Xenopus tropicalis: one gene and its partner. The protein of the gene in region 2 purifies or fractionates together with the protein of the main gene of each other region. This does not show direct contact. Links are inferred from orthologs where the notes say so. Each region holds a gene or a part of one and is shown on either strand. Other genes may lie near its edges.

What was found. The genes of interacting proteins can lie anywhere in the genome.
Region 1: the proteins of cdk5 (region 2) and cct7 purify together in Homo sapiens (affinity purification with mass spectrometry; 3 studies listed by BioGRID and IntAct, with this or other methods). This does not show direct contact. The link is inferred for Xenopus tropicalis from reciprocal best matches to the Homo sapiens genes CDK5 and CCT7.

What each region holds. Positions count from the first base shown.
Region 1 is NC_030677.2:16,900,310-16,904,294, reverse strand, and holds the start of cct7 (T-complex protein 1 subunit eta), read left to right. Parts: upstream 1-1,185; 5' UTR 1,186-1,223; coding exon 1,224-1,229; intron 1,230-3,985. Other genes in the region: pradc1 (protease-associated domain-containing protein 1), read right to left, coding at 115-193. UniProt on the Homo sapiens protein: Component of the chaperonin-containing T-complex (TRiC), a molecular chaperone complex that assists the folding of actin, tubulin and other proteins upon ATP hydrolysis.
Region 2 is NC_030682.2:1,367,076-1,371,120, reverse strand, and holds the start of cdk5 (cyclin-dependent-like kinase 5), read left to right. Parts: upstream 1-1,232; 5' UTR 1,233-1,262; coding exon 1,263-1,299; intron 1,300-4,045. UniProt on the Homo sapiens protein: Proline-directed serine/threonine-protein kinase essential for neuronal cell cycle arrest and differentiation and may be involved in apoptotic cell death in neuronal diseases by triggering abortive cell cycle re-entry. Interacts with D1 and D3-type G1 cyclins.

The sequences.
Region 1 (3,985 bases), on a different chromosome or scaffold from region 2:
TGGTTTAGCTGCCCAAATGCTTACCCTTCATTAGCCTCTACCCTCACCCATGGGTGCCCCAGCTGCCCCTGGGCACACCTACCAACCAGTGCCCCGTATGCCGTTTATACTTACCCCTGACAGGCAAGGAAGGGCACAACAGCAGCACCAATGTAAGGAACAGCTGGCAGCCCCTGCACACACCACCTTGCATGTCTGCCAATGCAGCGCTCCGCCCTCCCCCTCATCCTATTGGTACAGATCAGCGGCTCTCATTGGCTCCCCGTTTCATCACCAACCAATTACCAAATTCCGTCTAATACACAGGAATCCAATAACAAGCGTGTGTGTCCGTCTTCAGCACCAAGCTTGCAACATGGGGAAGCACCTTCCCCCCCACGGCAGTGAATGGTATAGCCCTCACACAGTCTTTGGAACGTGGGGGACGTTCCACTGGGGAAAGCCCGGGGGACGTCACAGTGCCTTATTACTTTCCTTATGCAATAAATGCTCCAGCACTTAACCTAAACTTCCCCCCACGGCAATGAATGGTATAGCCCTCACACAGTCTTTAGAACGTAGGGGACGTTCCACTGGGAAAAGCCCGGGGGACTTCACATTGCCTTATGACTTTCCTTACGCAATAAATGTTCCAGCACTTGAGTTAAGCTGCCCATCTGCACATTATTTCATAAATAAAAATCACAGTAGTTACTTCCCATCCAAGCCAGCGACATTCCACTACTCCTCCGGCTACATTGCCCATGTTACAGGGTAGGGCAGATAGTAGCAGGCAGACAAAAGTAAATATTATAATACTTTAATACCGATCAATGACAGCACACTTGCGCGCTGAGGGATTGGGTGTACCAAGATGGCGTAGCGGAATTAGCCCGCTTGTTTGGGTGTACCAACATGACTGAGAGTAAAACATTGCTTGTCAGGTATTTCTGAGCCCAGTGCGACTATCCAGCCTCTCTGCGCCTGAGCATGAACGCATTACATGGCCACAACCATAACTACGTTGGGCGAACAGGGTAGAATCCAACTTAGCAACCGGTGAAATCATGCCCTAGCCGGGCGAGCCGCGTCGTCAAGGCGACAGCTTCTAAACACGCCCCTTATCGCCCAGCCCCTCGGCCGTTGGTAGTTGGCTGCCGAAGGTTCCGGAAGGCCTTCCCGGTGCATTGTGGGAACTGCAGCACCCGGCTTCTGTGAATCTATACCCGGCGCCGCTCAGCAAGATGATGGTGAGTGTGCAATCCGCTTCCATCCTCCGCCATCCGGCCCGGGGCTCTAACGCACCCTGCGGCCCTTGTGTCTCCGAGGGGTTCTGCGTCTCTACCGCAATCATGTGCCGCTGTTTCACACAAAGCCGCAGCGCCTGTCTCTTGGCCTCATTAGCCGCTCCTCTCAGGGCCATTACAGGCTGCCCCGACCCTTCATTTAGCCTGTAGGGCCCTGGGCAAGTGGGCAGTGCTTACTATACCCTGTAGTGCCCCTTAGGCAGCCCCCCCCCCGGCACAGGCAGCCCCCCAGTCACCCCTTAGGCAGCCCCCAGTCACCCCTTAGGCAGCCCCCCAGTCACCCCTTAGGCAGCCCCACCCTGGCACAGGCAGCCCCCCAGTCACCCCTTAGGCAGCCCCCAGTCACCCCTTAGGCAGCCCCCAGTCACCCCTTAGGCAGCCCCACCCTGGCACAGGCAGCCCCCCAGTCACCCCTTAGGCAGCCCCCAGTCACCCCTTAGGCAGCCCCCAGTCACCCCTTAGGCAGCCCCACCCTGGCACAGGCAGCCCCCCAGTCACCCCTTAGGCCAGTGTTTTTCAACCTTTTTTGGGCAAAGGCACACTTGTTTCATGAAAAAAATCACAAGGCACACCACCATTAGAAAATGTTAAAAAATTTAACTCTGTGCCCAGCAGCAGTGCCCCCCTAGTACATTGGTGCCCAGCAGCAGTGCCCCCTAGTACATTGGTGCCCAGCAGCAGTGCCCCCCTAGTACATTGGTGCCAAGAGCAGTGCCCCCCTAGTACATTGGTGCCCAGCAGCAGTGCCCCCCTAGTACATTGGTGCCAAGAGCAGTGCCCCCCTAGTACATTGGTGCCCAGCAGCAGTGCCCCCCTAGTACATTGGTGCCAAGAGCAGTGCCCCCTAGTACATTGGTGCCAAGAGCAGTGCCCCCTAGTACATTGGTGCCCAGCAGCAGTGCCCCCCTAGTACATTGGTGCCCAGCAGCAGTGCCCCCCTAGTACATTGGTGCCAAGAGCAGTGCCCCCCTAGTACATTGGTGCCCAGCAGCAGTGCCCCCTAGTACATTGGTGCCCAGCAGCAGTGCCCCCCTAGTACATTGGTGCCCAGCAGCAGTGCCCCCCTAGTACATTGGTGCCCAGCAGCAGTGCCCCCCTAGTACATTGGTGCCCTGCCTACGGCACTCCAGGCAACATCTCGCGGCACACTAGTGTGCCGCGGAACAGTGGTTGAAAAACGCTGCCTTAGGCAGCCCCACCCTGGCACAGGCAGCCCCCCAGTCACCCCTTAGGCAGCCCCCCAGTCACCCCTTAGGCAGCCCCCCAGTCACCCCTTAGGCAGCCCCCCAGTCACCCCTTAGGCAACCCCCCAGTCACCCCTTAGGCAGCCCCACCCTGGCACAGGCAGCCCCCCAGTCACCCCTTAGGCAGCCCCCCCGCCACAGGCAGCCCCCCAGTCACCCCTTAGGCAGCCCCCCCGGCACAGGCAGCCCCCCAGTCACCCCTTAGGCAGCCCCCCAGTCACCCCTTAGGCAGCCCCCCAGTCACCCCTTAGGCAGCCCCCCCAGTCACCCCTTAGGCAGTCCCACCCTGGCACCCCTTAGGCAGTCCCACCCTGGCACAGGCAGCCCCCCAGTCCCCCCTTAGGCAGCCCCACCCTGGCACAGGCAGCCCCCCAGTCCCACCCTGGCACAGGCAGCCCCCCAGTCCCACCCTGGCACAGGCAGCCCCCCAGTCCCACCCTGGCACAGGCAGCCCCCCAGTCCCACCCTGGCACAGGCAGCCCCCCAGTCACCACTAAAGATTATTAGACTATAAGCAGTGCCAATAGCCCCATGGTACACTGCAGCCTGTCAGACACAGGGCACAGAGTGCCAGTCACCTAGAGCCGGTCAGACCGTGGGCACTGCCATTGCTACTGTGCATTGAAAACACTTCTATGTGTTGTTCATCCCTTGGGCAGTGCCAGTGTCTCAGTGATCCCTGTCAGACCTTGGCCAGTACTGGGGACCAGTATAGGTTGGCAGATCCTGGACATTAGCAGTGCCCCAGTACATCCCGGGTGCTACAGTACCACTGGGCGGCCCATAGCTGGTACCAGAGTCTGTTTTTCCTGCTGGGATTTTCAAGACCAACTCTTGATCTCTGGGAACCTTAACGTAACTTTCTCTTGTGAGGGGAAAGGCACATTTGTCAGGCAGGTTGCAGTTGGTCATAATCACTTGCCCATTGGGGAGACATCCCTGTCCCCATGAGCCATGAAGGCTGTTAGGGAAACCTCTGTGGGGCAGTTTAGAATGGGTTTCAGGAGGGAACCAGATCCGGCCCGGGGAGGGGGCCAAATCCGGCCCGGGGAGGGGGCCAGATCCGGCCCGGGGAGGGGGCCAGATCCGGCCCGGGGAGGGGGCCAGATCCGGCCCGGGGAGGGGGCCAGATCCGGCCCGGGGAGGGGGCCAGATCCGGCCCGGGGAGGGGGCCAGATCCGGCCCGGGGAGGGGGCCAGATCCGGCCCGGGGAGGGGGCCAGATCCGGCCCGGGGAGGGGGCCAGATCCGGCCCGGGGAGGGGGCCAGATCCAGCCAGGGGAGGGCCCAAATCCAGCCAGGGGAGGGCACCAGATCCAGCCCGGGGACGGCACCGGTGCCACCCAGCTGTGCCACTCTCTGCTAGTGGTTTGGATTTCCCAAGGCCGCTGTTAGCATAGGGACCCCGCACCCTCCTGTCAGTCACTGAATGGGTGCTCAGGGTGGGACTCACCCT
Region 2 (4,045 bases):
CGGCACCCCGTGTGTGATGTCATCGAGCACTGGCACCCTGTGTGTGATGTCATAGGGCACTGGCACCCTGTGTGTGATGTCATGGAGCACCGGCACCCCGTGTGTGATGTCATCGAGCACTGGCACCTGTGGGTGATGTCATTGAGCCCTGGCACCCCGTGTGTGATGTCATGGAGCACCGGCACCCCGTGTGTGATGTCATCGAGCACTGGCACCCTGTGTGTGATGTCATAGGGCACTGGCACCCTGTGTGTGATGTCATGGAGCACCGGCACCCCGTGTGTGATGTCATCGAGCACTGGCACCCTGTGGGTGATGTCATTGAGCCCTGGCACCCCGTGTGTGATGTCATGGAGCACCGGCACCCCGTGTGTGATGTCATCGAGCACTGGCACCCTGTGTGTGATGTCATAGAGCACTGGCACCCTGTGTGTGATGTCATGGAGCACTGGCACCCTCTGGGTGATGTCATTGAGCTCTGGCACCCTGTGTGTGATGTCATGGAGCACCGGCACCCCGTGTGTGATGTCATCGAGCACCGGCACCCTGTGTGTGATGTCATGGAGCACCGGCACCCCGTGTGTGATGTCATGGAGCACCGGCACCCTGTGGGTGATGTCATTGAGCTCTGGCACCCTGTGTGTGATGTCATTGAGCTCTGGCACCCTGTGTGTGATGTCATTGAGCACTGGCACCCTGTGTGTGATGTCATGGCGCTCTGACACCCCGTGTGTGACGTCATGGAGCACCGGCACCCCGTGTGTGACGTCATGGAGCTCCGGCACCCCGTGTGTGATGTCACAGAGCTGAGGGAGAGGTCTGTACCCTGCTGTATGGTAGTTACCGGTCTCTACCCCTCAGCCTGATACACACAAAGCAACACGCCATATCCCTCTGTAGGCGCATTGTGAGGCCAATAACCCCAGGATTCCATAGCTCAGTGCCCTACTCCCACCCCTATTTCTCTCTCAAACACTATTAGCAGCTTTATAAGGAAAGGACAGCGCTACTGCAGGGGACAAAGCTGCATAGATGGGTGTACCAACATGGCCGCCTCCCCGCCCCCACAAAGCGTCCCATTCCTACTGTCTCCATGGTAACCGCTTCTCCGTGACAGACTGGGCGGGGCTAACCCTGCCGCACAGCGCTCAGTAAGAGGGGAATCCAGTAGCACAGATTGGATTGGCTGAAGTCTCCTTCCGGGGCGGGTCTGTACGCATGCGTACTGAGTGGAACAGTGAGGGCGGCCTGCCGGTGCTATCATGCAGAAGTACGAGAAGCTGGAGAAGATCGGGGAAGGTGAGTGGCCCCCGGGCCGTGTGTCTGCTGGGGGGGGGGCCCTCCGGCTCCTTCTGCTCTGTCACTGGCTGGGACTCCCGTCACTTGTAGTGCGGCCTGGTCCGTATTCAACTACAACTCCCAGTATCCCTCCCCAGCAGCTACTGTGTGTGTGTGTGTGTGTGTGTGTGTGTGTGTGTGTGAGGGACAGAGAGCAGGGAATTGTGGGTAAGGGATACCTGGATATGTGTGTGTGTGTGTGTGTGTGTGTGTGTGTGTGTGTGTGAGGGACAGAGAGCAGGGAATTGTGGGTAAGGGATACCTGGATATGTGTGTGTGTGTGTGTGTGTGTGTGAGGGACAGAGAGCAGGGAATTGTGGGTAAGGGATACCTGGATATGTGTGTGTGTGTGTGTGTGTGTGTGTGTGTGTGTGGGACAGAGAGCAGGGAATTGTGGGTAAGGGATACCTGGATATGTGTGTGTGTGTGTGTGTGTGTGTGTGTGTGTGTGTGTGTGGGACAGAGAGCAGGGAATTGTGGGTAAGGGATACCTGGATATGTGTGTGTGTGTGTGTGTGTGTGTGTGTGTGTGTGTGTGTGTGTGTGTGTGTGTGAGGGACAGAGAGCAGGGAATTGTGGGTAAGGGATACCTGGATATGTGTGTGTGTGGTGTGTGTGTGTGTGTGTGTGTGTGTGTGGGACAGAGAGCAGGGAATTGTGGGTAAGGGATACCTGGATATGTGTGTGTGTGTGTGTGTGTGTGTGTGTGTGTGTGTGTGGGACAGAGAGCAGGGAATTGTGGGTAAGGGATACCTGGATATGTGTGTGTGTGTGTGTGAGGGACAGAGAGCAGGGAATTGTGGGTAAGGGATACCTGGATATGTGTGTGTGTGTGTGTGTGTGTGTGTGTGTGGGACAGAGAGCAGGGAATTGTGGGTAAGGGATACCTGGATGTGTGTGTGTGTGTGTGTGTGTGTGTGTGTGTGTGTGTGTGGGACAGAGAGCAGGGAATTGTGGGTAAGGGATACCTGGATATGTGTGTGTGTGTGTGTGTGTGAGGGACAGAGAGCAGGGAATTGTGGGTAAGGGATACCTGGATATGTGTGTGTGTGTGTGTGTGTGAGGGACAGAGAGCAGGGAATTGTGGGTAAGGATACCTGGATATGTGTGTGTGTGTGTGTGTGTGTGTGTGTGTGTGTGTGTGAGGGACAGAGAGCAGGGAATTGTGGGTAAGGGATACCTGGATATGTGTGTGTGTGTGTGTGTGTGTGAGGGACAGAGAGCAGGGAATTGTGGGTAAGGGATACCTGGATATGTGTGTGTGTGTGTGTGTGTGTGTGTGAGGGACAGAGAGCAGGGAATTGTGGGTAAGGGATACCTGGATATGTGTGTGTGTGTGTGTGTGTGTGTGTGTGTGTGTGTGTGTGTGTGTGTGGGACAGAGAGCAGGGAATTGTGGGTAAGGGATACCTGGATATGTGTGTGTGTGTGTGTGTGTGTGTGTGTGTGTGTGTGGGACAGAGAGCAGGGAATTGTGGGTAAGGGATACCTGGATATGTGTGTGTGTGTGTGTGTGTGTGTGTGTGTGTGTGTGAGGGACAGAGAGCAGGGAATTGTGGGTAAGGGATACCTGGATATGTGTGTGGTTGTGTGTGTGTGTGTGTGTGTGTGTGGGACAGAGAGCAGGGAATTGTGGGTAAGGGATACCTGGATATGTGTGTGTGTGTGTGTGTGTGTGTGTGTGTGTGTGTGTGGGACAGAGAGCAGGGAATTGTGGGTAAGGGATACCTGGATATGTGTGTGTGTGTGTGTGAGGGACAGAGAGCAGGGAATTGTGGGTAAGGGATACCTGGATATGTGTGTGTGTGTGTGTGTGTGTGTGTGTGGGACAGAGAGCAGGGAATTGTGGGTAAGGGATACCTGGATGTGTTGTGTGTGTGTGTGTGTGTGTGTGTGTGTGTGGGACAGAGAGCAGGGAATTGTGGGTAAGGGATACCTGGATATGTGTGTGTGTGTGTGTGTGTGAGGGACAGAGAGCAGGGAATTGTGGGTAAGGGATACCTGGATATGTGTGTGTGTGTGTGTGTGTGAGGGACAGAGAGCAGGGAATTGTGGGTAAGGGATACCTGGATATGTGTGTGTGTGTGTGTGTGTGTGTGTGTGTGTGTGTGTGTGTGTGTGAGGGACAGAGAGCAGGGAATTGTGGGTAAGGGATACCTGGATATGTGTGTGTGTGTGTGTGTGTGTGAGGGACAGAGAGCAGGGAATTGTGGGTAAGGGATACCTGGATATGTGTGTGTGTGTGTGTGTGTGTGTGTGTGTGTGTGTGTGTGTGGGACAGAGAGCAGGGAATTGTGGGTAAGGGATACCTGGATGTGTGTGTGTGTGTGTGTGTGTGTGTGTGTGTGGGACAGAGAGCAGGGAATTGTGGGTAAGGGATACCTGGATATGTGTGTGTGTGTGTGTGTGTGTGAGGGACAGAGAGCAGGGAATTGTGGGTAAGGGATACCTGGATATGTGTGTGTGTGTGTGTGTGTGAGGGACAGAGAGCAGGGAATTGTGGGTAAGGGATACCTGGATATGTGTGTGTGTGTGTGTGTGTGTGTGTGTGTGTGTGAGGGACAGAGAGCAGGGAATTGTGGGTAAGGGATACCTGGATATGTGTGTGTGTGTGTGTGTGTGAGGGACAGAGAGCAGGGAATTGTGGGTAAGGATACCTGGATATGTGTGTGTGTGTGTGTGTGTGTGTGTGTGTGTGTGTGGGACAG